7 linked regions of the Mus musculus genome follow. The protein of the gene in region 5 interacts with the protein of the main gene of each other region in a biochemical or structural test. Links are inferred from orthologs where the notes say so. Each region holds a gene or a part of one and is shown on either strand. Other genes may lie near its edges. The genes, in order: Bcar3, Rnf41, Sh2d1a, Txk, Erbb3, Nrg2 and Tns3.

Region 1 (3,500 bases), on a different chromosome or scaffold from region 5:
AGATTGTTCCGGGAGTCCAGTGTGGCTAGATAGGTGGGAAGCAGAGTGCCTGAAAATACACACCTTTGCCCAGGGCCCCAGGCTGCCAGGCAGGCAGCAGGTGGCAGTGGGCCAAAGCTGACGTGGGAAAGTCACTGAAGGGCAGCAGGGTAGGGTGACTAGCCCATTAAGGCCACACTGGTCATGGTGAGGTCGCCCTTCCCCCACCTGAAGTGTGTTGGTCGCTTCCTGTGGGAAACTATCCCAGAGCCTCTACATTCCAAAGGCCAATCAGAAGAGCATCTCCCAGACCCTTCCTCGCCTCCCTGCCTGCCCCTAAGTCTGACTTTTGCCTCCCCTGCAGAGAAAAACAGCTCCCAGGAATACCAGCGCTTGCTGTGAGAGTAAACACGGTCCACTTCCTGCACCCTCACTCAACAGCGTCTATGCTTCCAGACCAAGGAAGGGAGCCCCAGAGAGGTTGAAGGTGTCTGCCTAGGGTTGCACAGCTAACCACATGGGAACCAGCATGGAGCCACAGGTTCTGAGTCAGTTGCTGACTAATACATACCAGGCAACAGCTACAGTTTATGTTACTTACATAGTCCTGTATTTCATAAGGCGTTTGCAGTAAAGAAATTATAGTTTATATTTTCTCTTGGCCCAGACAGGAAAGCAGAGAGGCGAATGGACACGCTTACTTATATGAGACACCAGGAGCCGGGGGAGCCAGGGCAATAGAGGGGTCCAGGCTACATCTCAGCTTTCCTCCCCAGCAATTGGCCCTGAAAAGGTGTCTCGTCTCTGGAAGCTAAGTCCTATGCAAATACTGAGCTCCCTTCTCAGCCTTGCCTGTCTATTCTCTGAACACTTCAGCCCAGGAGGCACAGGAGTCCAGTTTCCTCCCTCTACGCTTCCAGTCCTTCAAACCCCATCTGTTTCCCTCCAAGCCAATCCTTTTCCGCAGGGCCAGTCCCTAGCCTCAGCACTGACCCCTGCTGGATGCTGACACACAGCATGTCCACAGTCCCTGCCCTCCCCTTAGTATACTGCCTAGGTGGGCTTTTTCCTCTAACCCTGAAGACCTCAGAAATCGACCCCACCTCCCCCTTCCAGCCTGGGCCCTTGCTGAAGCCTATGCTGGCTCCCCTGCTTCCGTCTCTCCCCACTCTGTGCCTAATGCTACCCAGTTCTGCTTCAGGATCTGCTGTTCACTGTGCCAAACTTTTGTAGCCGGGCAGAAAGCCTCCACCATCAGCGTTGGTGGGGTGCGGTCGGGTTCCTCCTAACCCCATCCCTCCCTTACACAGACCCTCTACTTTAGCCTGGCCAATCAACCCTCCAGGCTCCTCTGGCCCTTGAACGTCTCACATTAAGTCCCTGGAACCCCCTCTTCTTTGCAGTGTCCCCCACATATCCCCTGCTCAGACCCTGTTGTTGTTTTTGTTGTTGTTTTAGTTTTAGAAATGGGGAATCTCATTTTGTAGTCAAGGATGGCTTTGAACTTGGGGCACTCGCCCCATTTTAGCCTCAAAGCACTGAAATTACTCACACGCATCCCGCATCTAGCTCCACCACTTGATTTTGATGCTCTTTAAGTGGGGGTTAATCATGCACACTCGTGACCACTATCCACTGACGGTGAGTGTTCTAAAACCCTCTCCTCCCCTTCGCCTAAGCGAGGCCCCAGCACTCCACAGACCTACCTGAGGAGGTTTCCTCGGGGCAGGCTGTGTTCCCGAGCCTGGATGCTGCTGCCTGTGGTGAGGCTCAGCCTCTTCACCACGTCTGGCCTTCCCTCAGCCAGGCTGCCCTCCCGGCCTCGGCCCGGGGAGGTGCCATAACGCTCCTCCAGACACCAGAGGGGCACTGTCCTATTGATGGGCTGGAAGATGATGGCACCACTCTGTTGGGAGATGGGCCGCCGGTTGCCCACGTAGCAGCGGACCAGCCCCGGGATGGAGTCAAAGCTCTCCATCTCGAATTGGTACTGCACACGGCTGTAGGCCTCGCTGAGCCGCAGGACAGTCCGGTTGATCTTAAAGTGCTGAGCGAGGTTCTTCCACTGACAGGTCAGGACAAAGTTTCCGGGGCTCGACAGGGAGTCGCGAACCAGGAAGTCCCCATCCCGCTGCACAAGGTTTTCAGACACCTGTAGTCAAAATGGTGAATGAGGAGCAGGAAAGGCAAACATATTCACTCAAGAACTTCCAGAAGGCAGTGCTGCTATGTCTGCTGTGTGCGCATGTGCGCGAATGTGTGCGAATGTGTGCGCATGCGTGCAGAGACCAGAGGAGTCTTTCCTTAGGCACAATCGGTCTCCCACAACCCAGGTATCTGCCTCTCTCTGCCTCTCCACTCCATGTATTACCACACCTGGCTCTCCTGATTTTTGTTTTTGTTTTGTTTTTAATGAGGGTTCTGGGGATCGAACCCATATCCTTGTCCTTGCAAGATGACTATTTTACCAACCGGGCCATCTCCTATCACTCCCTTTTTTTAGTCACGTCTTTAGTTTGTTTGTTAAATGACACACTCAAGGACTGTATCCTAGCTGGGTATGGCTCTGCACACGGGTGATCAATGTGCTCAGGAAACTAAGACAGGAGGACTGTAAGTCTGAAGTCAGCCTGGAATACATAATTCATTTGAGGTCATCCCCCTCTCAAATGCAAAACAAAACACCCAAACTATTTATGGACCATCTTCTACATGCCCAGCACTACTGCAGACTCAGGAGACACAGCAATGACTAAGTGTGCTTCCTCGGGGGCTTTGTGGTGTGTGTGTGTGTGTGTGTGTGTGTGTGTGCGCGCGTGCGTGTGTGTATTTGGTATAGCACTCTCGGGACAGACGGCTGCAAGTATGGTGAGTCTGAATATTGTGAAGCTAAGGAAAGAAAAACTTTGGAAGGGAGATGGGCTATTTGGAAGGGTTATTGTTCAAATGAGGGTGGCCAGGAAGATGTCCCAAGAAGAGGACATTTACACAGACTTAGAGAATGTAAAACAGCGGACGAAATGAAGTTGTATGCTCATTGGGTCTGATTTTTTTTTTCCAAAGGGAAGAGGAAGAGGCTATCTGGGTCTGGGTCCCCTAATCATCCTCCTCAGATTTCCGTTTACAGAGCAGGATGAACCCAGGGATGGCATGGTGGATTCTGGACAAGCTAGGAGGCTAGGAAAAAAAAAATACAAAGACATTTGAGGTTTCCTCACCCCACAAAGTTATTGTAAAGATAATCCATTTGCATATGAGAAATAGGCAAAGCACGAGGAGTACAATGCCTGTAATGCAGTGGACAGCCCCACAGGTAGCCACTATGGTGCTGATGTTGCCAGCCATCCAGTACATCATGCTGGAGCCTGACCACCTAGGTTTGTATTCTGCCCCAGCTGTGTGACTAGACAAATTACATAAGTGCCTTGTGGTTCAGTTACATCATCCATAAGATGTAGATAATGCTGTTGCTTATAGAGTGGCTGAAACCTTCAAAGGGACAGTGTTGGCACCCGGCTTCC
Region 2 (4,276 bases), about 160 kb from region 5:
ACATATATACTTCTTTATTCAGCACATATAACTACAAGCAATGCCAAAAATCCCACATCAGTGGCTATACAGAATACAAATCCATAGCGCTTGCCCTGTACAGTCCTTTAATGTTTCTGGAGTGACTTTACTTATATGATATCATGTAAAAACTATTCTAGAGGCCAGGGAGGACAGTCCATGCCTGCATTCCCAGCACTCAGTAGGTGAAATAGGAGAATTTGAGTTCAAGGCCAGCTCAGGCTACGTAGCAAGTTCCAAACTTTGTCTCAAACAAACCCAAAACTGGCCTGGGGATGCAGCTCGGCTTACAAAGCACTGGGACTCAGTCCCTGGCTCTGTACTTGAGAGAGCATGCCTATAGTGCCAGGGCTGGAAAAAGTCAGAAGACAGTGAGAAAGCAGGGCTTTAGATCATTCCCGGCAGGGATGTAAGCCTGGAGTACTCAGATCCCCAAACATCCAGACTCTCACAAGGGAAATGTTTTCTCACACAGAGAATACTCAGTAATGTCGCTATAGGTGTAAACTGAAACACCCCTGAAGGGATAAGGCTTTAAAAAAAGACAAAGGGGTGGGGACTGAGAGAGCGGGTTTACTCATAAACAGGAAGAACGAAGGCAGGTACGGTAGCTCATGCCTGCAATCCCAACACCCAGGAGGCTGAGACAGGAAGATCACTGTGAACTCGGTCAGGAGAGGCTACCAGGCAGGACCTTTTCTCAATTGGGAAGGAGGAAGAAAGCAGAGATAGTGTTGTTCTAGGTAGGCAACTTGGTCGACCAGGAAGCAAAAAAAAACCAGGTTGACCAGGCTCATGCCTGAAAAGATGGGACTGAGGGCTATTCCAGGGCCCTGAGAATCGGAGTCAATGAGACACAGCATGACTAATTAAACTCCCCGGCTCGTTATCCTGTGTGTATCAATAGTGAAAGGGCTAAGTTAGGAGAGTACCTGATGATCTTTCATGCAGAACACAAAGGCTACTGGGTCTCCTGAATTGGGTACATGTGCTCCTAGTTCAGTGTGTCTTCTCAGTGAATGAGAGAGATGTAAAGCCCAGAATTTTTCTTCACTGTGGTCCAGAGAGGAGAGAGTTGATGTTCCTCCCCACCCCACATAACACGGGAGGAGGAATGCTTCCTTCCTTTGAACAACACTTCATTTCCCAACCATCTGGCACATGCACCTGTACCTCAGGAAAAAAAAAAAAAAAAAAAAAAAGCTTCCAGGAACAGGTACTATATTGGCTGTGCTTGGTCTCCTAGGGACAAGAAATTCCAAACACAGAAACCAAAAAGCCTCCTGTAATGGGAAAATTAACCCTTAGGAAAACAGACCAGGAGTTGTAAGACAAGCATTGAATCAGGAGAGAGGGGGAAGGAGGGTGGGCTTGGATTCCAGTCCTAGCTCTGCCATCCACTGACAGGACAGCTTCAAACAAGCCGTGTAGCCAACTGTCAAACAGATATGACACTTGCATTTTCTAACCTATTGTCCTGCAAATCAAATGAGATAAACTCTGAGTGCACGTGTAAGACTGCTGTATTACTTGTTGCAACAGAATGGCAAAATAAACTCACAGTGAGAACCAGAGGAAATGCTTGAAAATGCTTGTTCCTTCTTTTCAATCACTGGGAAGTAGGCCCTGCCACAAGGTTTACTGAAGACACTGCATAACAAATGCACCCCTCACCCTCCCTTGGCACTATCCAATCCCACTCTTTCTTGGGGGAACACTAGTAGCCACCCATCCTGCTACAGTAGTTAAAACTACTGTATAAGAAGTAGCTGCCAAGATTCTCATAGGTCAATCTCCCAAGAACAGTGGCCTTGGTAACCATCACATTTGCTACCAGTTGAAATGAAGTTTCATGAAATGAAGTTAGTGTACCAATCCAAAACACCCTCATCCTGCTTTTTCAGGTCTTTCTCCTGCCCCTACTCCCACCCCCCCTCACTCTCTACCCCACAAATGCCCTGCCTCCTGGACTGGGGTGGGCTTTCCAGTGTATTAAACGAGTGGATGGATCGTGCGTATCAGAGAGCGGGGCTGCAAATCATTCAGGGTCAAAGATGTAAGGAATGTAAGAGTCCTCCACGGAGAGGCGGGAGGGGAGAGAAGCGGCGAAGGAATAAAAGAGAAAGACAAGGCTGCCAAAGACAAGGCATGGGAAAGAAGCCAAGCTATGGCGCTTGGAGGGCGGAGGTTTGGGTTCCGCGGTCCCTGCCAAGGCTAGCCCCCAGAACGTTCCCTTCGCCTCCAGGCCTGTCAATCATTGCCATTTAAACTCCATGTTGTCCCTCAGCCCCAGCAATCAGCTCCTCCCGGGTCCTCAGGCTGGCCCAAGGCCACTCCCGCACTTCCCGAGGCTCTCCCTACTCCAGAGGATCTTCCAAAGCTCCAGAGCCCCCAGCTAGCTCACCTCCCGACTCCTCCCAGCTGAGCTCCCTTCCTCCATTTTCCTCCTCCTCTCCACCCTTCCTCCCTACCCCCAGCACTTCGGACCCAGGCACCAATCCACAGGGACCTCGCCCCCTCTCCCCCCCAACCCCCCAGGGTTAGAAGCTCGCCCAGGCGCATTACGCACCACCCGGAACGCAGCCTGGTTTCTCCGGACGCGGGGCCTGGCTGCAGCTGAGGACACGGCGGCCGCGTAGCACACTGTGTGCCCGGTCTCAGCCTTTCCCCGTAGGGGAAGGGGAAGGTAAGGATGGGGAAGAAGGTTCCGACCACTCCTCGCTGTCTCGGGTTAGCCCTTAGCCACGCCCACTGCTGCTACGCAACGGGGCGGAAGCTCGTCACCAAGCCCCGCCTCTCTATTTAACTCGGCGGCGCCTGGATGCTCCTTGCGAGCGGCCTATGAGAGGCGGGGGCTAGCTGGGCCTCCGCTCTGGGCCGGAAGTTCTTAGGACGGACAGTGTAGCCTTTTGGGAGGGAGGGCTCTATGTGCTTCAGGTGTGAAGCTCCGGGGCGACCCTGGGTGTCCCGCCTTGCAGAGTTACTTGGTGCTGGGTGGTGCACGGCTCGGGTGCCAGACCTGGTGCAGCGCTGGGACGAGGTCGCCGCGGGGCAGCTGGTCTGCAGCGTGGCCTGCTGTCCTCCCAGCCCTTCAGTTTCCAGAGCTGTGGTCAGCATCCCGGAGCCTCCCGACCTGTGACTCACAGTCATGGGGATGGATGCTGCTGTTAACTTAGGAGGCCGCAGGATGGAGAGGGAGGGAGTGTCTCACCGCAAAGCTTTGATCTAGGGTGCTGCAGGGGTCGTCCACCTCCCAGCCACACACTCTTGTAGTATTCCTGATGGCTCTTCAAAAACTCAGACCGCCCGAAACATTAATGGATTTGATTTCCTAAGGCTGCAACACTGTGGTTAGGGGAAATGGGTGGGAGAGAACCCGAGGAGAGTCGTGGTGGAGTTTAAAGCGCTCTGTGTTAGGTAAGCGGGGAAGCAAGACAAGGAATGCAATTACATTACCTCTTAGGCTAATCTGGTGTCAAATAGTATTTGTTGTAGATACTCTCTTTTTTAAAGGGCAATTCACATTAGTACATATGTAACTAGCTTATTCGTGAGAATACAGAGCTAGCTGCTTCCTTTGAAGACAATATGACGAGTACCAGAGGAAACTTAAGCTTCTAGGTGTCTCTGAGATACAATAAAATAAGGAAACAGGAATCGGATGTGCCTTTGTGAACCAAGTCAAACTTGCTTCCCTCCCCTCCCTCTCCCCTAGTCAGGGTTTCTCTTTGTTGCCCTGGCTGTCCTGGAATTCACTATGTAGGATAGGCTGGCCTTAAACTCAAGAGATCCGCCTACCTCTTGCCTCCCCAGTGTCCACCTGGCTTGAGGCTTGCTTTTTATGTTCCGGGTTCAACGTCTTTCAAAGGAGAGTGAATCTGCGTATTATCTTTCTATGGCGAAAATGCTGCTTGTCCCAGAGCCCTGAGCCGAACCGTTCGGTACATTAAAGATGATGTGTAAGCTCCTGCCATGTCCAAGGTACTGGCTTTTAACTAACTTTCCATTTTCATGTGTAAAATGGGCAGTGGTGGCGCACGCCTTTATCCCAGTACTTGGGAGGCAGAGGCAGGTGGATTTTTAAGTTGGAGGCCAGGCTGGTCTACAGAGTGAGTTCCAGGACAGCCAGGGCTACACAGAGAAACCCTGTCTCAAACTCCTTCCCTCCGCCCCCCGCAAAAAAAAAAAAAAGAATTGCCGAGAAAACAAGCAAAGAAACAGACTGGAACTAAAACGTTTTCCTGCTGCATTCCAT
Region 3 (4,033 bases), on a different chromosome or scaffold from region 5:
ACAAACAAGCATCTTACATTTATACAGCATCCCCGGTGAGTGAAAACCAGAAGGCTGAGAATTTCCTTACATGGTTCCGGCCTACATACCAAAATACTAAGGTTCCTTCTCTTCAAGATTTCACTTACAGCCATCTTTTATAACAGAGGAAACAACAGGTTTCTATTTTACACGGATGTAAGGTGAAGCCCCAGAGAATTTGAATGACTTCCTAGAGCCCCCACCCTGGCTTCTTGGCAGCCAGATGCCCTTCATAGTGAAGAGCATATGCCTGAACAGTTAGTCGAATTCCAAACTGTTTGCTGAGTGCCTATTATGTACCAGGATATAGTCCTGGTAGAGGCAATGTTTGCTCCTTTGTGAAGGTAGTTTCGTGGTAGAGCCCATATATAAGTAAACAAACTTATATTAGCATGTTTAAAGTTCCTTGAATAGAAGAAATGGGATAGCAACCCAGAGAGGGCACTTACATTTGTGGGAATGATCAAGAGATGCAATGTTGAACAGAAACTGGACAATCCTGAGTAGGGAGCAGGCTTAGTTACCTTCCGGGGTGACCAGGTGGGAAGAAAAATTCAAGTGTGAGCTGTACTGTCTCCAGCCCTCTCTCCCCTATATAGGCTTCATGTGAACCTTCTGGTTAAGGAGCATGCTCCTTCTATTATCAGTGTGCCCAAAGCAGCCCGTCTCACTCACCATCCTTCATCTTTTGACAAGTTAAAAATAACTAAGGATTGTCATTGGCTTCCCTAGCCCTTCTTAGGGTTCCACTTGGGAACATAAAGGTCCAAGCCCAGGGTTGGGCATCTAGCTTAATAAAAAAGCATTTTTCAGGCACATATAAAATTCTGGATCCTGTCCCCAACACTGAAAAATGATTTTTCCATATATTTACCTTGAAGCCTTTATGATAAATGTATTTAGCATGATCTTAAAAACTGACAAAAATAAGGCTTGGACATTTTTTTAAAAAAATCAATATACAATGACAATCCTCTCACACCAGCCTCAATTTAATCTTTATTTTCTGGCCCAGAGAGTACGTCAAATTTTTGCAGTGTATCATCATGTACAGAACTCACTACCAAGCATTTTTGTTTTGCTTTCATGTAGACTCTACTGTATTAGAGTGAGGTTTTACTGGGATATATGTATAAGCATACAGTATATATGTGTGTGTGTGTGTGTGTGTATATATATATATATGTGTGTGTGTATGTATGTGTGTATTATGTGTGTGTATATGTGTGTGTATATATATATATATATATGTATATATATATATATATATATCCTGCTTACAGTAGTGCTTGAACTGGGTCCTTCTGTAGACTGCCTCAAGGAGTACCGGAATAATTTGTCCAAAAAGAGACTAATAATAAACCAGACTTCCATTTGCTGAGCGTCAAGCCCAGTGTTCATTTGTCTTTTTTTTTTTTGTACATGGAGGTATTTAATCTTCATTGACCCTTAGAATATGAATCCCATTTAAAATCAATGGCTAAGAGATTGGTGTTGTGAGATAACAACCTTTTGAGTCTGACTACAGTAGGATTTGCTCAGGGAGGTTGTACAGAGCCAAGATGCAGCTGCACCTGGTTCAAAATGGAGTAAGAGGCTGAGACCAGTCTAGGCAAAGCTCAAAGTGGGATAATTACAATGATGTTTTCTCCCTCTCTCTGTTCTTTAAAACTATTCTCACTCCTATCATTTACGGGACACAGCACGTTTTAAAACTCATTATGCCTCTTATAAAACAAGGCAATTCAGCAGCACCAGAAAGGTGCCCCTACTCTTGCATACACATCCTCTTCAGCACTGTACTGCTTTAGTGTTGTTGGCTACTGTTTTTTAATAGGATCTTATACTATGTAGCCCTAGCTGGCATGGAACCGGCCCATGTAAAACCAGGCTAGTCACCTGAAACTCACACACATCTGTCTACCTCTGCCTTCCCTGGGCTGCATTCTGAAAGCAATGGATTCCATTTCCTGGCTAACCACTTCTTCAAGCATTTGCTAGATGCTTTTCTTTTAGGGTACCATTTTCAGTCACATTTGTAGAGAATGATAGAGAAAGACCTTCCTTTGCCTTACTTCATGGCCCAGAATACAAATAGTCCAACTTCCCGGGGCTCCACCATCATGGTGTCTACTTGGAATCAGAGCCGAAGTCCAGAGTATGGGTCTTTCTCAAAGTAAAGGTAAGTTCTAGGCCATGTTTTCCCATTCTGAAGGGTATTCAGTGAAGCTGCCACAAACGCACTGGTGAAATGCAGTTGATAAAATCCGCAGTGAGGGACGTACGTACAAGTACTGCCCACCACATCCCTGGGCTGAGCCCTGGGACCATACGTCAGAGCTGGAAGAGTACTCAGTTCCTGCTGCCTGTATTCCCTAGGTACCTCTGCCAAAAGCTGTCATCCCCTGCCACTCCTCCCAGCCCTCCCCTGAAAGGGCAGGCTACCCATGCTAACAACCTGCCACTACCACGAGATATACTCACAAAACACACAGGCAGTACACGCCAGGGACACTCTCGCTGTCTCGCAGCAGATAGCTTCCATCCAGCCCGGTAGCGAGTAAGAGCTTCTCCCCGGTCTCCCTGCTGATTTTGCCGTGGTACACAGTCACTGCATCCATGCCTAGCAAACTCTTTGATGGGCCCAGAAGAAGGATGGTAAAAAGGAAACTTTGCTGCTGCTGTTGCCGCTGCAGTGGCTTACTGGGCAGTATTGAGAGAGAGAGAGAGAGAGAGAGAGAGAGAGAGAGAGAGAGAGAGAGAGAGAGAGAGAGAGAGAAACACCCTAACAACAGGATGTTGTCTACCTGCCTTAAAACCTCTTCTCACACTTCAATTCAGGCCAGCTCAGCAGTTTAACAGCTTCAAACTTGTCATGGGTTTGATCATCTATTCTCCAACAAAGGTTTGTGGTGGGGGAGGGGGCACGCTGAAAAGGTGAACACTTGCAGTATTTGAGCTGTGCCAGCAACGCAAACAGAGCTTGCACAAAGATGAGAAACTTGCTAGTGCCTTTGTTCTTGTGTAGTTCCTGCAAACTTCGAAGCCATTGACAATGACTTGTCTTAACGAGTGAACAAAAGAATTGGTGATAGAAGTGAATGGGACGTGTTCATCATGAGGGGCAGAAGCAGACTGACAAAATAAAAGCATAAAAGCAGTCAAGCTACAAAACCACAGCAGAACATGGCTGCAAGGCTTCCACAGCATCACCAAGGGCTACTGAACTACAGACTTTGGGACTAGATGGTCCTGAAACAGCTTTCTTTTCTTCAATGCTGATGATGGAATTCGGGGCCTCGCAGATGAGGTCTTCTATCCCGAAGCCATATGCCAAATCCTTGAATACACTTAGGCCAAAACAAGTATTTTTACCTTAATGTTTTGTCCAAAATCCAAAACTATGAAAAAAATTGTCATCATATTAAAAAAAAAAAAGTGTAGATGGATCTAGCTAAGGAGCTTAAGAAGACTAAATTCTTTTGTTGGTACTTCTTTGTTTTTATTATTATTAAAATCACAATATAATCACAGCATTTCTCCCTTCCCTTTTCACCCTTGAAACCCTCCCATGAATCCCTCCCTGCTCTTCAACAACATTGCTATTGTATTATTGTATTATTGCATGCATATATGTATATACGTGTAATTCCTAAACACATCCAGTTGTGCCTGTATGGTGCTATTTGTATGTATGTTTTCAGGGATAGCCATTTGGTAGTAGACGACCAATTAGTGTGCTCTTCCCACGGGTGACCACTTCTTCTACTTCCGATTTTACTCAGCTGTCTGTAGTTCTTCCTGTAGAGCTGCTGGTTTGTGGGCTTTTTCTGTCCAGTTTGGTCTGTCCATTGGTGTCCTGTGTGAACTTCTATATACCCTTTGGCATATGGGGCTAGGCCAGAATCATTGTGGATATAAAATCCATTTTACATCATCGCACAGGTGTTGATAAATGTGTTGTAACTTCTATTCTCATACATAAATGCCTACCTACATCAATGTTAAAAAC
Region 4 (4,081 bases), on a different chromosome or scaffold from region 5:
TTACTATTATTGCTAAGATAGGCCCCACCTATCTTCTCCTTTTATCTGGATGAGCTGTGAAAGGAACCAGGGTGTGCTCAGGAAAGTTACAAGAAGGTTGAGTTCCTGTGTGAACAATTTGAAATACTCTTTCTTATCACATGTAGGTCTCAGGGGGCAGGATACATGTGTGTATGTGTGCATATGTGCCTGTGTGCATATGGGGGCTAGAGTTGATGCTGTGTGTTTTCTTCGATTGCTTTCCACCTTGTGTAGTGAGGTAGAATCTCTCATTGAACTCAGAGCTGGCTGATTTGGCTGGTCTAGCTAGCCAGTTTGCCCTCAGGATCTCTTGTCTCCATCTCCCAAGCACTTGGTTTACTGGTGGGAGACCGTGCTCTCTTGTCAATTATGTAACTTTTCTGGCTCTGAACTTGGGTCCTTATACTTCAGTGTCAAACACTTTGCTCACTGAGCCATTTCCATAGCCCATACAAATGCTTCCTATGGGAAAACAGAACAAATGAAAGGGAGCGCTCACGCTGTAGACTTGTTCATCCAACCGAGGTGCCAATGGGAACCTGTCAAAGCTGAGGCTAAATCTTTTCTTTTCTCTGTCCCTGTCTTTCTGTCTCTCTGTCTCTGTCTGTCTGTCTGTCTGTCTCTCTGCCTCTCCTGTCTCTGTCTGTATCTCTGTCTGTCTCTCTGTCTCTGTCTTTCTCTCTGTCTGTCAAGGTTTCTCTATGTAACCCTGGCTGTCCTGGAACTCTATGTAGACCAGGCTGGCCTTGAACTCACTCGCCTCTGCCTCCCAGAGTGCTGGGATTAAAGACTTTTGCCACCACACCTAGCTTCAGCCAGTTTTTAAAACAGATCTTTAGATTCTCCCCTAATCCCAAACCAAGTCTTTAGAGTCAGTCCTAAATCAGAGGGCCAAACATCCTAGTTTGGATATTCATGATCCTAGAAGTCGATTTTCCCTGTACCACTATGAGCCCTCCAGTAAGTAAAATTTCTTCTTGTATGGTCCTTTATTCCAGTATCAGCACAGGGAAGACAGTTTAAGTTGACTACTATGAAGGCCCCTTTTACCGAAATTCTGTGATTTCTTCAAAGTGTTTTCTAGACACACCCACAGCGTAGGTATAAGGAAGTGCTAACACTTCAGATCTGGATACAGAGCTCTGAAGTTTCTTATGTAGGCCACTGGGTTGTCATTCACACACTCTTGAGGTTTTCAGAACAGGAAATTAGGTGGGGTAAACTTTGCCTGTGAGAAACGTCACAGGCCAACAACTATGCTTTCAGTTGAAAGATGTGTTACCGTGAGTGGAACAGAGCTGAAGAACCAAGGCTTCTGTGTATGGCCAGCAAGCAGGGTCGCCATGATCCTGTCCTCTTGTGAGTAAGATGGGCTTTACCATTTAATGTCACAGCGTGTTTATGGGTGTGTTGCCTACTGGTGACCCCTAGGAGTGGGTTTTGCTAAAACAAGGAATTTGTGAAATCCTAAAGATGATTTCTTCAGATGTAGTGACAGGATTTTGTGGCTTAGTTAAATGTCCACTGCCTCTTGATAAAATTATATACTTGAGAATTGAGAATACAGATGACAATAGCAAAAAAAAAAAAAGTTGTGTACTTAGCATGTGTGGAAATTCGGTCAGTGTGATGGGATATGTTTGTTTTTTGAATGATAATGAACTCAGAGTTGAGGGTGAAGAGATCAGACTTTTCTGGTTTAGCCTCAGCTTTGACAGGTTCCCATTGGCACCTCGGTTGGATGAACAAGTCTACAGTGTGAGCGCTCCCTTTCTGCCTCCTCCTATAGCCGTCACAAGTAAACAGTGGGCAAAGCTGGCAAGCACATCAACTAATCTGAGAGTTGCTTTGAAAGACTTCAAGACGATTTTTGGAAGCACTCCACAGTTAAGACTCAAGAGAGGCTAATTATGTATAGGGGTTTAGGAAAGGAAAAAAAAAAGACGATCTCTGATTTTAATTCTAGATGCCCTGGGAATCAAACATCAGTAGAACTTAGTCATTCTAGATTAGGCCAGAATTCTGATTTATTTTTAGCTGGCAGTAGGAAAAAACTGACCGAATTTTACATATCTCTTTAAGCCACAGCACGTTATTAGGACCTCCAGACATTGGTAGGATTTATAAAAATAATCAAATGCTATTTTTGTTGTGCCTTCCTGAATATGATTTACAGTTTGATTCACTAAGAACAAAACAAGACAATAACAACAACAACAGCAACAGCAACAAAAAGGTTTCTTGTTATCAGAAATAGGCCAAGCAGCTCAAGACAGAAAAAGATACAAAGAATTGTCACGAGTCCCCACCTCCCCAAGGGCAGAATAATGTTGAGCAGATGCAGAATATGGACTTTTAAAGGCTTTGATTGTTTCTCATGAGATCAGAACCAGGGGAAGGAAGGCCATGTGTTATGACAGGAAAGGCTCAGCTACGTGTAAGGCAAGTAGATGCAGAGGCTGTCTAGGGATGAAGTGGGAGACTACTTATCTATGGGGTCTTAGATTTCCCCGTGGCCTGGGGGGGGAGGAATGGTTTTAATGCAATGTCCCTGTACCATCCAGTGTCTGTCTGTCTGTCTGTCTGTCTGTGTCCTTCTGCCATGAGCCATAGCTAAACCACTCCATTTTCTTCTGCGTGAAATAATGAGTATTCGCCATTGACAAGGCACCACCAAGTGCCCTCCAGGGTGTTTTAAACTTAAGGATGCTTATTTGTATGCGCCAAACACATTGACTGTTCAAGGGGCTGCCATGGTGACCTGGAGTCACAGGCTGCTGGAAGGGAAGAGGAGGTAGTTGTATAGAGTGGGGTTTTGATCATAAAGGAATGATGGTGGCCTCTGAACAGGGTCCAAGACACTCCTCCAGTGAGGTTACATTTGTGAAGTGTTGGAATTGCCAGTGTGTTTGGCAGCTAAGTTACCGTGAGAGCAAACTCAGACATTTACTTAGATGGCAAGATCCCAGTACAGCAGCTAAGGATTAGAAATTTCTCCCTTTCACCTCTTCTTGAATGCTTTTAATCTATTGTTTGTGGAAAGAAAAACCATATAAAAATGTTTCATATATATACATATATATACACATATGTATGTATATATATGTGTATATGTATATATATGTGTGTGTGTGTGTGTGTGTGTGTGTGTGTGTGTGTAATCTTATGGTCCAGTTTGCCTGATACATGCCTGGGGGTTCTGCTTAAATGCAGGTTTCTAGGTTCATTATCATCATTTGATCTGAGGGTACAGTAAGAAACTTTGATTGCACTGTATTTCCAGGGCCTCTCCATTCCCAGAGTACTCTCATACCAGCCCTGCAAAGCTAATGGACCATTATTACTGTAATTAATATGAGGATAAGCCGGGTAGCTGGGATAGGCATCCTTTAGGCTGGCCTCTGGTGCTAACTACTTTCAGGTATGATCAACCCCTCATCCTAGGCATTGGACTCTTTACCTCTCTCAGATAGAGTATGTAAAAACAATGGGATGCCACCTCTGAGACTTGGTGCACAAAAGACGGAGCTCTTGTCTTTGCTGCGTCTGTGAACATGGAAGTGGTTTTCTAGCTCCAAGCCAGCAGGGTTTAACTGCAGCTTCAGTGAGCTCTGCTGAGCCGTTAGAGAACTTGAAGGGACGCTGGCTAGCCCAAGTATGGCAAACACAGCTCTGGCAGGCCTTGCTCTTCTTCTCCATTCCCTCTGCCTTTCTAAACAGTTAGATTACACCCTAAATAAACCCCTAAGGTCTATTCGCCTATTTTGGCCACTTCCTCCTCCTGAGGCTGGCCACCAAGGTCCAGCTATGAAAGTATTGAAGTCCAGCAATCAAAAGCCCCCTTTGACTCACCTAATTAACATGCCCAATTAAAATCAAACACCTCATTCTAACACTGGGATTCCCCTTTTACATTTATAAATGGCCATTTTCCTATTGGTCATGTCTGTCTCCTCTCTATCCAGAGGCAGTCCTTTGTGACACCCTTCTGGGACAAATACCTTTCCCCTCCCTCGATCCCTTCCCCTTCTCCCTCATCCTCTGTCTCCTCTTTGTCTCT
Region 5 (3,500 bases):
AATAGCAGCTGGCCACACCTTGAAGACAGCACTCATGACCTCAAACCCTTAATCCTCCTTCCTCAACCCCGACCTTCCCCAGCTAAGCTGTTGCTATCAAAGGCCTCCCCTGACTCCCCTCACCTTGGCAATTTGTACTCCCCAGTTGAGCAGCAGCTGTGGTCCCAGTGTCTCACGGTGCTGTCTTACATGATCAAGGAGAGAGCCCAGAGGCAAGTACTGAGTGACAAGCTGCAGAGATGACCCTGGGCACAGTCCCAGCAGCCGTACAATGTGGGCATGGTCCAGGCTGCCGACGGCCAGCATGTGCTGCAAAATATAAGAGGTGTTAGCCAGGAAGTAACGGGTTTGCATACACTCCACAAAAGCACACCCAATCCAGAGGTCCCCTAACACTCATGCCTAAGATGGATCTAACACACTATTTGCCAACACAAGATCATATGCCTACATGCCCGAAACCAACACTGCCTCTCTCATTATGGCATCCACTTAATTGGAGTCTGAAGATTACAGATGAAGTCCCTTCTTTAACTTACATCAGTCACAGCCTGAAAACTCTGCCGCCCACTCTTGTCCTCGATGACTTTAATGCAGACTGGAATCTTGATGGATTCACCCTCGGGAATCCAAATCCCCTGGAAAGTTTGAAGTGGAGGGAGGGAGGGAGGTTTAAAAAAAAATCACTCTTTTCAGACAGTGTTCTGCCAAAATCTTTCTCCCATTTTCCCTGGCATCTTGTTCCCACTTCTCTAGACTTCCCAAGAGTCACTCACCTTGTGTACAGTTCCAAAGACACCAGAGCCAAGCACCTTAAGTTTCCTCAGCTCTGTCTCTTTGAAGATTCTAGCCAAGACTTTGTTTGCCTTCTCGCTTGGGTCCAGAGGCTCGATGCTCTGAGGGGTGGACAGGAAGGAGTTATTTGTAAAAGCCCACTCCCACAAGCCTAGTCCCACCTATTGCCTCTGCACCAAGAGCAGCAGAGCTCAGAGCCTAGGGTAAGAAGATAAGTCCTTAGTCTTGGAAAGCTTCATAATTTCACTGAGGAACAACAGACACTTCAGGAACTATAGGATTGAGGAAGCTGTGCTGATGAGAAAGGTCAAGAGGGATTGGTTTCCCTTTGAGTAGGAGGAGGGAATCGAGGAGATATGGTGGTACCCCCATCTCGAAGACTTTTCATGCAAGGTTGATTCTGGTTTTCTATCCCTCTGTCCTCGAAGATGAGGACTTGCTGTGTAGATCAGACTTGTCTTGAACTCAGGGCAATCTTTTCTGCCTTGGCTGAGTGCCAGAATTACTGCCCTGGACCAAAATGCTTAAGCTTTCAAGGAACTTGCACATACCACTACCCATCACCTTGGAAGGATGAATGTTATTGTATCTAAGAGACATAAACTGAGCCACAGAGAAGGAAAGTAGTTTCTTCATCGTTGTGGCAAAAGGCAAAAACAAGATGAGAACATCTCCCTACTTTTTGGACTGGAGTGTACACATATGTGCACTGTACATTCGTGTTGCTAGGACTGAACCTGGGTCCTTGTACATGTTAGGCAAGCATTCTGAGCTGTATCCATAGCTCTATACCATCCCCTCAAAGAGAGGGACCATATTTCCTGAGAAAGAGAACCAAGGTTCATCGATTTTCCCTGGGAGCAGATTGTAAAGGATGCTTCCCAAAGTTAAGCTAGATAAATACTCACCTCACCCCGCTCCAAGTAGCGTCTCATAGCCCTTTTATTCTGAATCCTGCGTCCACGCCAATAGAGAAAAGAGCCTCCCAGAATCAGGAAGATCACAGTCAGTCCTACTGTCACCGCTATGACCAGGTGTGGTTTGCTGTGGGATACAGAAAAGGCCAGCATCCTGGGTTTACAGTGGCTTCACAAAGGTCATTTATTTGGTGTACATGTGAGTTAGCATTCATCTCTATTAATGCCCATGAGCACTGAAGGAATCAACCCAGATACAGGGCTTGCCCCCTTTTAAGCCAGTTTAAGTTAATCTAGGAAGAGAATTCGAGAAGCCAGGACTCTTGAGTCCAGGGATGGTGGACTATATATATAAAAGGGAAGAATGGCTCCAGTGGACAGTCCCATACCCCGTGCATACCAGTGACACTAAATAGACCCAGGGTGTTATTAATAACAACAATGAAAAGGAGGACAGGAAATCAGGAAGGGGAAGGGCATGAAGGTAATCTGGAAGGAGATAAAGGTGGATTGGTATGATCAAAAGATATCACATAACTGTATTACATTTCCAAATAATAAATAACAAATATTATTTAGGGCTGGTGAGATGGCTCAGCGGGTAAGAGCACTGACTGCTCTACCAAAGCTCCTGAGTTCGAATCCCAGCAACCACATGGTAGCTCACAACCATCCGTAATGAGACCTGACACCCTCTTCTGGCACGTCGGAAGACAACTACAGTGTACTTATGTATAATAATAAATAAAATCTTTAAAAACAAAACAAATATTATTTAAAGTAAGGGGGTGAGGGTGGGGGGCTGAAGATATGGTTCAGCAGTTCAGAGCTCCTAAAGAGGATCCAGGTTTGGTTCCCTGAACCCACATGGTGGCTCAGAACTATCCTAACTCTAGATCCTAGAGAACACAGTGCCCTCTGCTGGTCTCCCTGAGCACGGGCACACATGGTGCACATACAAACATTCATTAAGGCACTATTCATACATATAAAGTAAAACAGATAACTTTTAAAGGTAGGCATAGTGCTACATGCCTTTAATCCTGGTATTTGGGACCCAGAAGCAGGAGGATGTCTGTGAGTTATCAAACACCCTGGCATACACGGCAAGTTTCATGCCAGGCAGGACTATATAGAGACACCATGTTACAAAAACAAAATAAACAAAAATGTAAAAAATAATTTTTTGGGTTTTTTTTTTTTCAAGACAGGGGTTCCTCTTTGTAGCCCTGACTGTTCCTTGAACTCAGAGATCTGCCTGCCTCTGCCTCCCGAGTACTGAGTTCAAAGGTGTATACCACCACCACCAGGCTAAAAATGAAAACTTAAAAGGGCAGAGTGGGCCACTGGAGAGAGGCTCAGTGCTTAAGAGCACTGGCTGTTCTTGTGAAGGACCCATGTTCAATTCCCAACACGTATATAATGGCTCATAGATTCATAACTACAGTTCCAAGATATCTCATGCCCTCTTCTGGCCTCCAAAGGGACCAGGCAAGCAAGTAGTGCAGAGACATAAATGAGGTAAAACATATATATATATATATATATATATATGGCAGAACAAATAACATCGTTCTTTCCCTGACCTTTCTCCCAAACATTCCTGAACCCAACATTCTCCAAGCCGATCTTACCTCATTAATACCTCTGCTTGGCCTAAACAGTCTTGTAGTTCTGGTCCCTTACACCTAGAAAAGAAAATCACCTTCTTAGACAGTAAGTAGACAAGAGAGGATTGGGCCAACAAGACGGCTTAGCAGATGAATATACTTGCAGCCAAGCCTGAGG
Region 6 (2,655 bases), on a different chromosome or scaffold from region 5:
CTTGAGGTGCCTACCCCGTGTCACTTCCCTGTGGTAGCCTTTGGATACAAGAAGGCATGTTCCCCTCACTCAAGCCAAGCCAGGGAATAAACTGTCACTGCAAGAGCAGTGAGCTCAAATCCAGGTAGTCTCTGAATGGTGGCTAGTGGTTCCTGGAATTAAGCATACTATTCTCTGCCTAACCTGGATTCGAATCCCAGGGACAGGTACCCAGGATTCACACTGGGAGGTATTAGCAAGAAACAGGCCTTCAAGGACCTGGGGATCATCGGCTCTAAGATGAGACACCTAGTGGTGGAGGAAGGAGTTAGTTGATTCAGAAAGAATGAAACAGACCTACCACATTTTGGTCATTCAGTCCTTGGCACTTCAAGTCTGGGTCCCCTTTTTCCTATATGTAGTATAGCCCTCACCCACAGATGCTACAGAATAGATGAGACCACACATAAAACACTCCAACCTGAGCGTGCCTCGGAGACTGTGAACGTCCCTACAGTACTCCCCTAGTACATTTCTGAAATTCTCCAGCATCATACTGGAGTAAACACTACATTCATCTGTGCTTAACAGATAAGAAAAGGCTGGGAGGTTCATGGAAACTAAACGTGGTCAGAGCCACGGCTCTCACTCTTATGGACACTTTCTGGTTGGAATCTCTGGTGAACACCAGCACTGCACCCTGACTCCCGACCCTCTGTCTCTCCCACAGGTACGTGTCAGCCTTGACCACGCCCGCTCGCCTCTCGCCCGTGGACTTCCACTACTCGCTGGCCACGCAGGTGCCGACTTTCGAGATCACGTCGCCCAACTCTGCGCATGCCGTGTCGCTGCCGCCCGCCGCGCCCATCAGCTACCGCCTGGCGGAGCAGCAGCCGCTCCTGCGGCATCCAGCGCCGCCCGGCCCGGGGCCGGGGTCGGGGCCCGGAGCGGACATGCAGCGCAGCTACGACAGCTACTACTACCCTGCGGCGGGGCCCGGGCCGCGGCGCAGCGCCTGCGCGCTGGGAGGCAGCTTGGGCAGCCTGCCCGCCAGCCCCTTCCGCATCCCGGAGGACGACGAGTACGAGACCACGCAGGAGTGCGCGCCCCCGCCGCCGCCGCGGCCGCGCACGCGCGGCGCGTCCCGCAGGACGTCGGCGGGGCCGCGGCGCTGGCGGCGCTCCCGGCTCAACGGGTTGGCGGCGCAGCGCGCACGCGCGGCGCGGGACTCGCTGTCATTGAGCAGCGGTTCGGGCTGCGGCTCGGCGTCGGCCTCGGACGACGACGCGGACGACGCGGACGGGGCGCTGGCGGCCGAGAGCACGCCATTCCTCGGCCTGCGAGCGGCGCACGACGCGTTGCGCTCGGACTCGCCGCCGCTGTGCCCCGCGGCCGACAGCAGGACTTACTACTCCCTGGACAGCCACAGCACGCGCGCCAGCAGCAGACACAGCCGGGGGCCGCCCACGAGGGCCAAGCAGGACTCGGGGCCCCTCTAAGGCCCCCCGCCTCGCCCGCCCCACGTCTCCAAGGAGAGCGGAGACCACCGACTGGAGAGGGAAAAGGAGCGAACAAAGAAATAAAAATATTTTTATTTTCTATAAAAGGAAAAAAGTATAACAAAATGTTTTATTTTCATTTTAGCAAAAAAAATTGTCTTATAATACTAGCTAACGGCAAAGACGTTTTTATAGGGAAACTATTTATATGTAACATCCTGATTTACAGCTTCGGAAAAAAAAAAAGAAACAACAAAAAAAAAAATAAGAGAGATGGGCCAATTTTTTGACTCTTTAATAGAAACCTATATTGTGGTGCCTTTTGCTGTACGCTAATCTGGGGCTCCTGGAGAGCCGTCTGGGGTGCAGTGTGAGGGTGGGCGCTTGTAGGATCCCAAACTGGTGGGGGTGAGAAAGGGCAGGGAAAGAAGAGACTGTGAGGTTCTAATGGCTCTGAGGAAAGTGGACAATGAGGAAGAAAATGAAGATAAGATGTAATTGTATTTTCCCCAGTCCTGAGCAGAGAAGGCAGGGATGTTAGCCTTAGAGCTGGAATTGAGATTGGGTTATCTCCAAGGACACTGGCCTCCCCGCTACAGCAACTAGAATGGGGAAGGGTCCTCCCCAGCCCTCACAGCTGCTAAGGGAAAGAGGACAGAGAAGGCTGTCTCCCCACCAGCCCCCTGCCGAGGGAGGGGGCAGCTCTACCAGGGGCCCAACCTTCAGGGCTCCTCCTCCCTGGCGGCCTCCAGGACATCCTCTGTCCTCTGCAGCGCCTTCGTTTACAGGTCGTCTTTTCTATTTTACGCCTGCATGTCCTTTGCATTTCGGATTCTTTAGATTGAATGCATGGTCACGCTGGGACCCAGAAGAGCCACTCCGACAGTGTATTCGATTCCCCTTTTAGCAATAAAGTAACACCATGTCCTTCTCACAGCCCAGCTCCCAACCCACCTATGACTTCCATCTTCCAATCCTGCCCTCCCCAGCCAGCCCTCACAACTGGATCCAATGCTAATTTGTCAAAAAAGGCAATTGTCTAAAAAGCAAACAAAAATCCCAAACAGAAACAAATGGGAACCCTGACATGTCCGAACACCTGACTGTTGACACTTGAACATTTTTATATTATAAATAAAATCAGAAATAACTCCTGTTTGACTGTGTGTACCTAGGT
Region 7 (3,500 bases), on a different chromosome or scaffold from region 5:
AGGCACCTGCGCCTGAGTCCTGGGTCCACCCACATACACCGCTAGACACATGCAAAGTTTTCCAAAACTCAGGAGGGGATTTTGTTCCTGGAAGAAAGGCGTTTGATTTATTCTTCCCAAGTACAGCCTTCCAAGAACATTCCTTAAGCAAAGGGTCGTAGAGTTTGCTTAAGTGTTTCCACTGAAACCTTAGAACTCTGAATTTCCTCAGAACTGTATTGGGGAGAACACAAACCTACCAGCACTCCAGCCAACGAGAAGATCCTGCTGTTAGTCCAGTGATCCCAGCATGTCCCAGGTAATGTAATCTGGCTTCTCTTCTCACCTCTCATCACCAGACACTGGGATGGCCCTTCCTTTCCACAGCTAGCATGAGCAAAAGTCCCAGCAACCCTGTCCTTTGATAGCAGCCTGCCAGCTAGCTGGCAGTCCACGCAACCCTGACACTGGTTAGGATCCATGCTACAAGATCTTGTTCTTGCCTGAAGGGGAGGGGGCCAGACATCAGCCAGGCTGCAACCTTCTAAAGAGGGCAGAGACCATGGATGGGTCTATACCACAGGGTCTACGTGAACTCAAGCCCTGTCATCACCTAGTAGTCTCCACAGACGTGACAGCAAGGTGAAGCAAGGCCCTGAAGCAAGGGGCCTTGGAAGATGAACTAAGCCATTCTGCCAGGACCCTAAAGCAATAGTCAGCCCACACAGGGACTTCTATCATCAGCATTACTAGCACCCAAGAAGGGGGATTTTCACACGGACTCACTGAGAAGCACAGAAAAGCAACCATGGGAGGAAGGAAGAGATGGGGACAGCCTTCTCCTGCACTGTCTTTCTTGCCTTCCTGGTCCGGGCTCCCAACACCACCCACAGCTCCACCTTACCCGCCACCACCTGCAGCCACTTCATCACCCTCACATAGGCGCCTCACCTTGGCCAGTCCCCTCCAGGGATAACTTTGTGCAGATCCCAGCCAGAGCCTTGTCCCTTCCATTAACTCCCAGACCTTTTCTCAGGATGTTCCGCCCACGTCATACACTGTGGCTTGCTGTCTGCCTTTGCATCCAATGACAAAGGTGTCTCTCAAACCCTCTTGACCTGTGTTCACACACACAAGGAACACCTGGTAGTAATCTGATCCCGAAGCAGGCTTTATCGTCACTCTGATGCAGTCTGCAGGAAATACTCCCATAGACTTGGCCAGAGGACACTGTCCACGGCTACTGAGCTTGGCCTTGCCAGGAAGCCCCTGCTCTGGTGTCCAGTTCCCCTGTTTTAAGGCAGAAAGGCCCACACAGTTTTCTCTTGACAACTCTTACCAACTTCAGAAGGTGCAGTACACAAACGGCCCTCACACAGTGGCTGTCACCCTTGCTGGGCTTAGGTCTTGGTTCTAAATCACAGCTTTCAGGATCCAGGAACCCAGATCTGCTGTGTCTGAGGCCACTCCACACTCTCCACTTTCTGCTCCATGTACCTGTCTCCCTCAGTCATCAAGACCCTCCAAGCTCCTCTCTAACACATGGTGGCTCCTGCTCTGTTTCTACAAGAATGACTCGAGAGCCCAGCAGGGTCTTCTGACTCACCAAGACGCCCGGCACTCTTCCCTAAAGGGACATTCTTGAACTGAGAAAAGTTTCATTGTTGAGCTGATTCTTCAGGCATGGAAACTGAGGCTCAGAGATGTATACATAGGTTTTAAATCACACAGCTGGCAGGTGGCAAAGGAACATGGACCAGGCTATCTGGTGCTTCCAAATGACCTACTGCACTTACCAACAAGCGTGACAAGTATGTGAAATAAGACACTGATTCCTAAGAAGAGGAATCTTCAGGGGGGCCCACCCGGCCCCAAACCATTTTTATAGGCAAGTTTTACACCTCTTTCTCCCCACCTTTCAATTCTGCTAACAAGCTCTTATAGTGCCACAGTATCACCTGGATTCTAGGCCACAGCTTGTGAGAGTAGAAAATGCCGCTCCATCATCAGTTTCAGCAAATCCAAATTCCCAGCTGCATAGATACTTCCTACCTGACACCAACACCCCATCAGCTCACCTTGCCGGCCAGGGCTCCGGCCAGGGCCATCCACAGAGTCCAGCCGGCCACTACACCGGAGCCCACTTCCCACACCGTCAGGACACACAGCTGAGATGCCAAGGGCATTCAGGTGTGTGGGGATGGGCTCAAAGGTGGGGTCCAGCTCCAGGATCAGCCTGTTGAGTTGCTCAATGGACTGATCAATATCCAGAGTAGGAGAGCCTGGGGAGGAGCCAGTGTTCGGCTCCTGATGGACTCCATTCGTGACTCTGTCATCTTGAAATCTGGGCTGGAGAGCTTTACCAGGACAGAGCTGCTGTGTGTCGGGGGGATTTGGCCCATTGCTGATGCCTCTCTGAACAGCCACTCTGCTGCTGGCTCCACGGTTGGGAGTAACTGGGATGTGGGGTGGGGGCTGGGCAAGGCCAGTATTGTCCACTGTGCTGCGGCTGCCAAGCCTGGCCTCCCCATCTGAGGCAAAGCTGTACTGGTGAGCAGCCACCATCTGCTGCTGACGTACCCAAGTCTGGGTGGAATAGTTACTTTGCCCATAGGCCTGCACTGGGGTGGGTGCAGAGGGCTTCCTCAACAGGGGCTGCAGCGGTTTTTGCTCTCGGCCCCCACACATCCGCTCCCGATCGTAAAGGGTGTCTACACCAAGGCCCAGGTCTGGAGAAAGGACACCATTATGATCTTCAGCAACACCATTGCCAAAGCCATCAGACAGGAGAGAGTTCTGGCTGCTCTTGAGACAGGTGAAAGGACCCAGGTGGGTGGACTGGGGCCCTTCAGAGGAGGAAAGAGTACCCAGGCTGTCCACACTGTGAAGATCATGATGGGGCATCTCATCATCTAGAATGTCAGTCTCCCGGTCCTTTAGGGCAGCATCTCCATTCACATGGACCTGGGCTGGTACCACATGCCGTGTCCCACTGTACTTGCTGCGCATATCAGTCATGTCTTTGTGGGAGCTTGCAGAGTCTTCCAGGCCAAATCCACTGAGCAGCTGGTCCAGCTCAGCCTTCTCCTGAGGGCTCAGGCCTCTTCGTGCTCCGGGGGTCAGGCGCTCTTCTGTCTTATCAGTCCTGGCGGAGGCAGTAGAATGACCTGAGTCGCTGCTGACTGACAGGGTGTGGTCTCCGTGGTCTGGACTGCTAGTGGCTGGCATGCCCTGGGGGCTACTAGGGATGCCAGTATCTGAGGCACTCTTCTTCCTCACCTTGGCATACAGGCTGCCATCCACTGGCCCCTGTGTGTGTAGCACTGCAGAAAAAGAAAGAGACAGGCTGTAAGCAAGGGAGAAAAGGAAGTATTACCTACTACAGTGGGCACGCACTTATCTAAACAGATGAGTGGGTCTATAATGCAACTCAATAGTACGCAAGTGCAGTCTCAGCTCGGGTCCCCAAACTCTACACAATCCTCTGCAGAGAAAGCAGCAATAAAACAGGATTCATATAT

What was found.
Region 1: the proteins of Erbb3 (region 5) and Bcar3 form a complex in vitro, tested with the Homo sapiens proteins (2 studies listed by BioGRID and IntAct, with this or other methods). The link is inferred for Mus musculus from reciprocal best matches to the Homo sapiens genes ERBB3 and BCAR3.
Region 2: the proteins of Erbb3 (region 5) and Rnf41 form a complex in vitro, tested with the Homo sapiens proteins (2 studies listed by BioGRID). The link is inferred for Mus musculus from reciprocal best matches to the Homo sapiens genes ERBB3 and RNF41.
Region 3: the proteins of Erbb3 (region 5) and Sh2d1a form a complex in vitro, tested with the Homo sapiens proteins (2 studies listed by BioGRID and IntAct, with this or other methods). The link is inferred for Mus musculus from reciprocal best matches to the Homo sapiens genes ERBB3 and SH2D1A.
Region 4: the proteins of Erbb3 (region 5) and Txk form a complex in vitro, tested with the Homo sapiens proteins (2 studies listed by BioGRID and IntAct, with this or other methods). The link is inferred for Mus musculus from reciprocal best matches to the Homo sapiens genes ERBB3 and TXK.
Region 6: the proteins of Erbb3 (region 5) and Nrg2 form a complex in vitro, tested with the Homo sapiens proteins (2 studies listed by BioGRID). The link is inferred for Mus musculus from reciprocal best matches to the Homo sapiens genes ERBB3 and NRG2.
Region 7: the proteins of Erbb3 (region 5) and Tns3 form a complex in vitro, tested with the Homo sapiens proteins (2 studies listed by BioGRID and IntAct, with this or other methods). The link is inferred for Mus musculus from reciprocal best matches to the Homo sapiens genes ERBB3 and TNS3.

The regions. Positions count from the first base shown.
Region 1 is NC_000069.6:122,506,757-122,510,256, reverse strand, and holds part of Bcar3 (breast cancer anti-estrogen resistance protein 3 homolog), read right to left. Parts: intron 2,132-3,500; coding exon 1,686-2,131; intron 1-1,685. UniProt on the Homo sapiens protein: Acts as an adapter protein downstream of several growth factor receptors to promote cell proliferation, migration, and redistribution of actin fibers.
Region 2 is NC_000076.6:128,410,140-128,414,415, reverse strand, and holds the start of Rnf41 (E3 ubiquitin-protein ligase NRDP1), read right to left. Parts: upstream 2,801-4,276; 5' UTR 2,591-2,800; intron 1-2,590. UniProt on the Homo sapiens protein: Acts as E3 ubiquitin-protein ligase and regulates the degradation of target proteins. Polyubiquitinates MYD88. Negatively regulates MYD88-dependent production of pro-inflammatory cytokines.
Region 3 is NC_000086.7:42,501,332-42,505,364, reverse strand, and holds the start of Sh2d1a (SH2 domain-containing protein 1A), read right to left. Parts: upstream 2,801-4,033; 5' UTR 2,643-2,800; coding exon 2,506-2,642; intron 546-2,505; exon of another isoform or gene 473-545; coding exon of another isoform or gene 471-472; intron 44-470; exon of another isoform or gene 20-43; coding exon of another isoform or gene 18-19; intron 1-17.
Region 4 is NC_000071.6:72,749,978-72,754,058, reverse strand, and holds the start of Txk (tyrosine-protein kinase TXK), read left to right. Parts: upstream 1-1,281; 5' UTR 1,282-1,364; coding exon 1,365-1,380; intron 1,381-4,081. UniProt on the Homo sapiens protein: Non-receptor tyrosine kinase that plays a redundant role with ITK in regulation of the adaptive immune response. Regulates the development, function and differentiation of conventional T-cells and nonconventional NKT-cells.
Region 5 is NC_000076.6:128,572,636-128,576,135, forward strand, and holds part of Erbb3 (receptor tyrosine-protein kinase erbB-3 precursor), read right to left. Parts: intron 3,401-3,500; coding exon 3,347-3,400; intron 1,840-3,346; coding exon 1,704-1,839; intron 897-1,703; coding exon 777-896; intron 639-776; coding exon 540-638; intron 310-539; coding exon 124-309; intron 1-123. UniProt on the Homo sapiens protein: Tyrosine-protein kinase that plays an essential role as cell surface receptor for neuregulins.
Region 6 is NC_000084.6:36,016,737-36,019,391, reverse strand, and holds part of Nrg2 (pro-neuregulin-2, membrane-bound isoform), read left to right. Parts: intron 1-709; coding exon 710-1,478; 3' UTR 1,479-2,655. UniProt on the Homo sapiens protein: Direct ligand for ERBB3 and ERBB4 tyrosine kinase receptors. Concomitantly recruits ERBB1 and ERBB2 coreceptors, resulting in ligand-stimulated tyrosine phosphorylation and activation of the ERBB receptors.
Region 7 is NC_000077.6:8,490,036-8,493,535, forward strand, and holds part of Tns3 (tensin-3), read right to left. Parts: intron 3,303-3,500; coding exon 2,058-3,302; intron 1-2,057. UniProt on the Homo sapiens protein: May act as a protein phosphatase and/or a lipid phosphatase. Involved in the dissociation of the integrin-tensin-actin complex. EGF activates TNS4 and down-regulates TNS3 which results in capping the tail of ITGB1.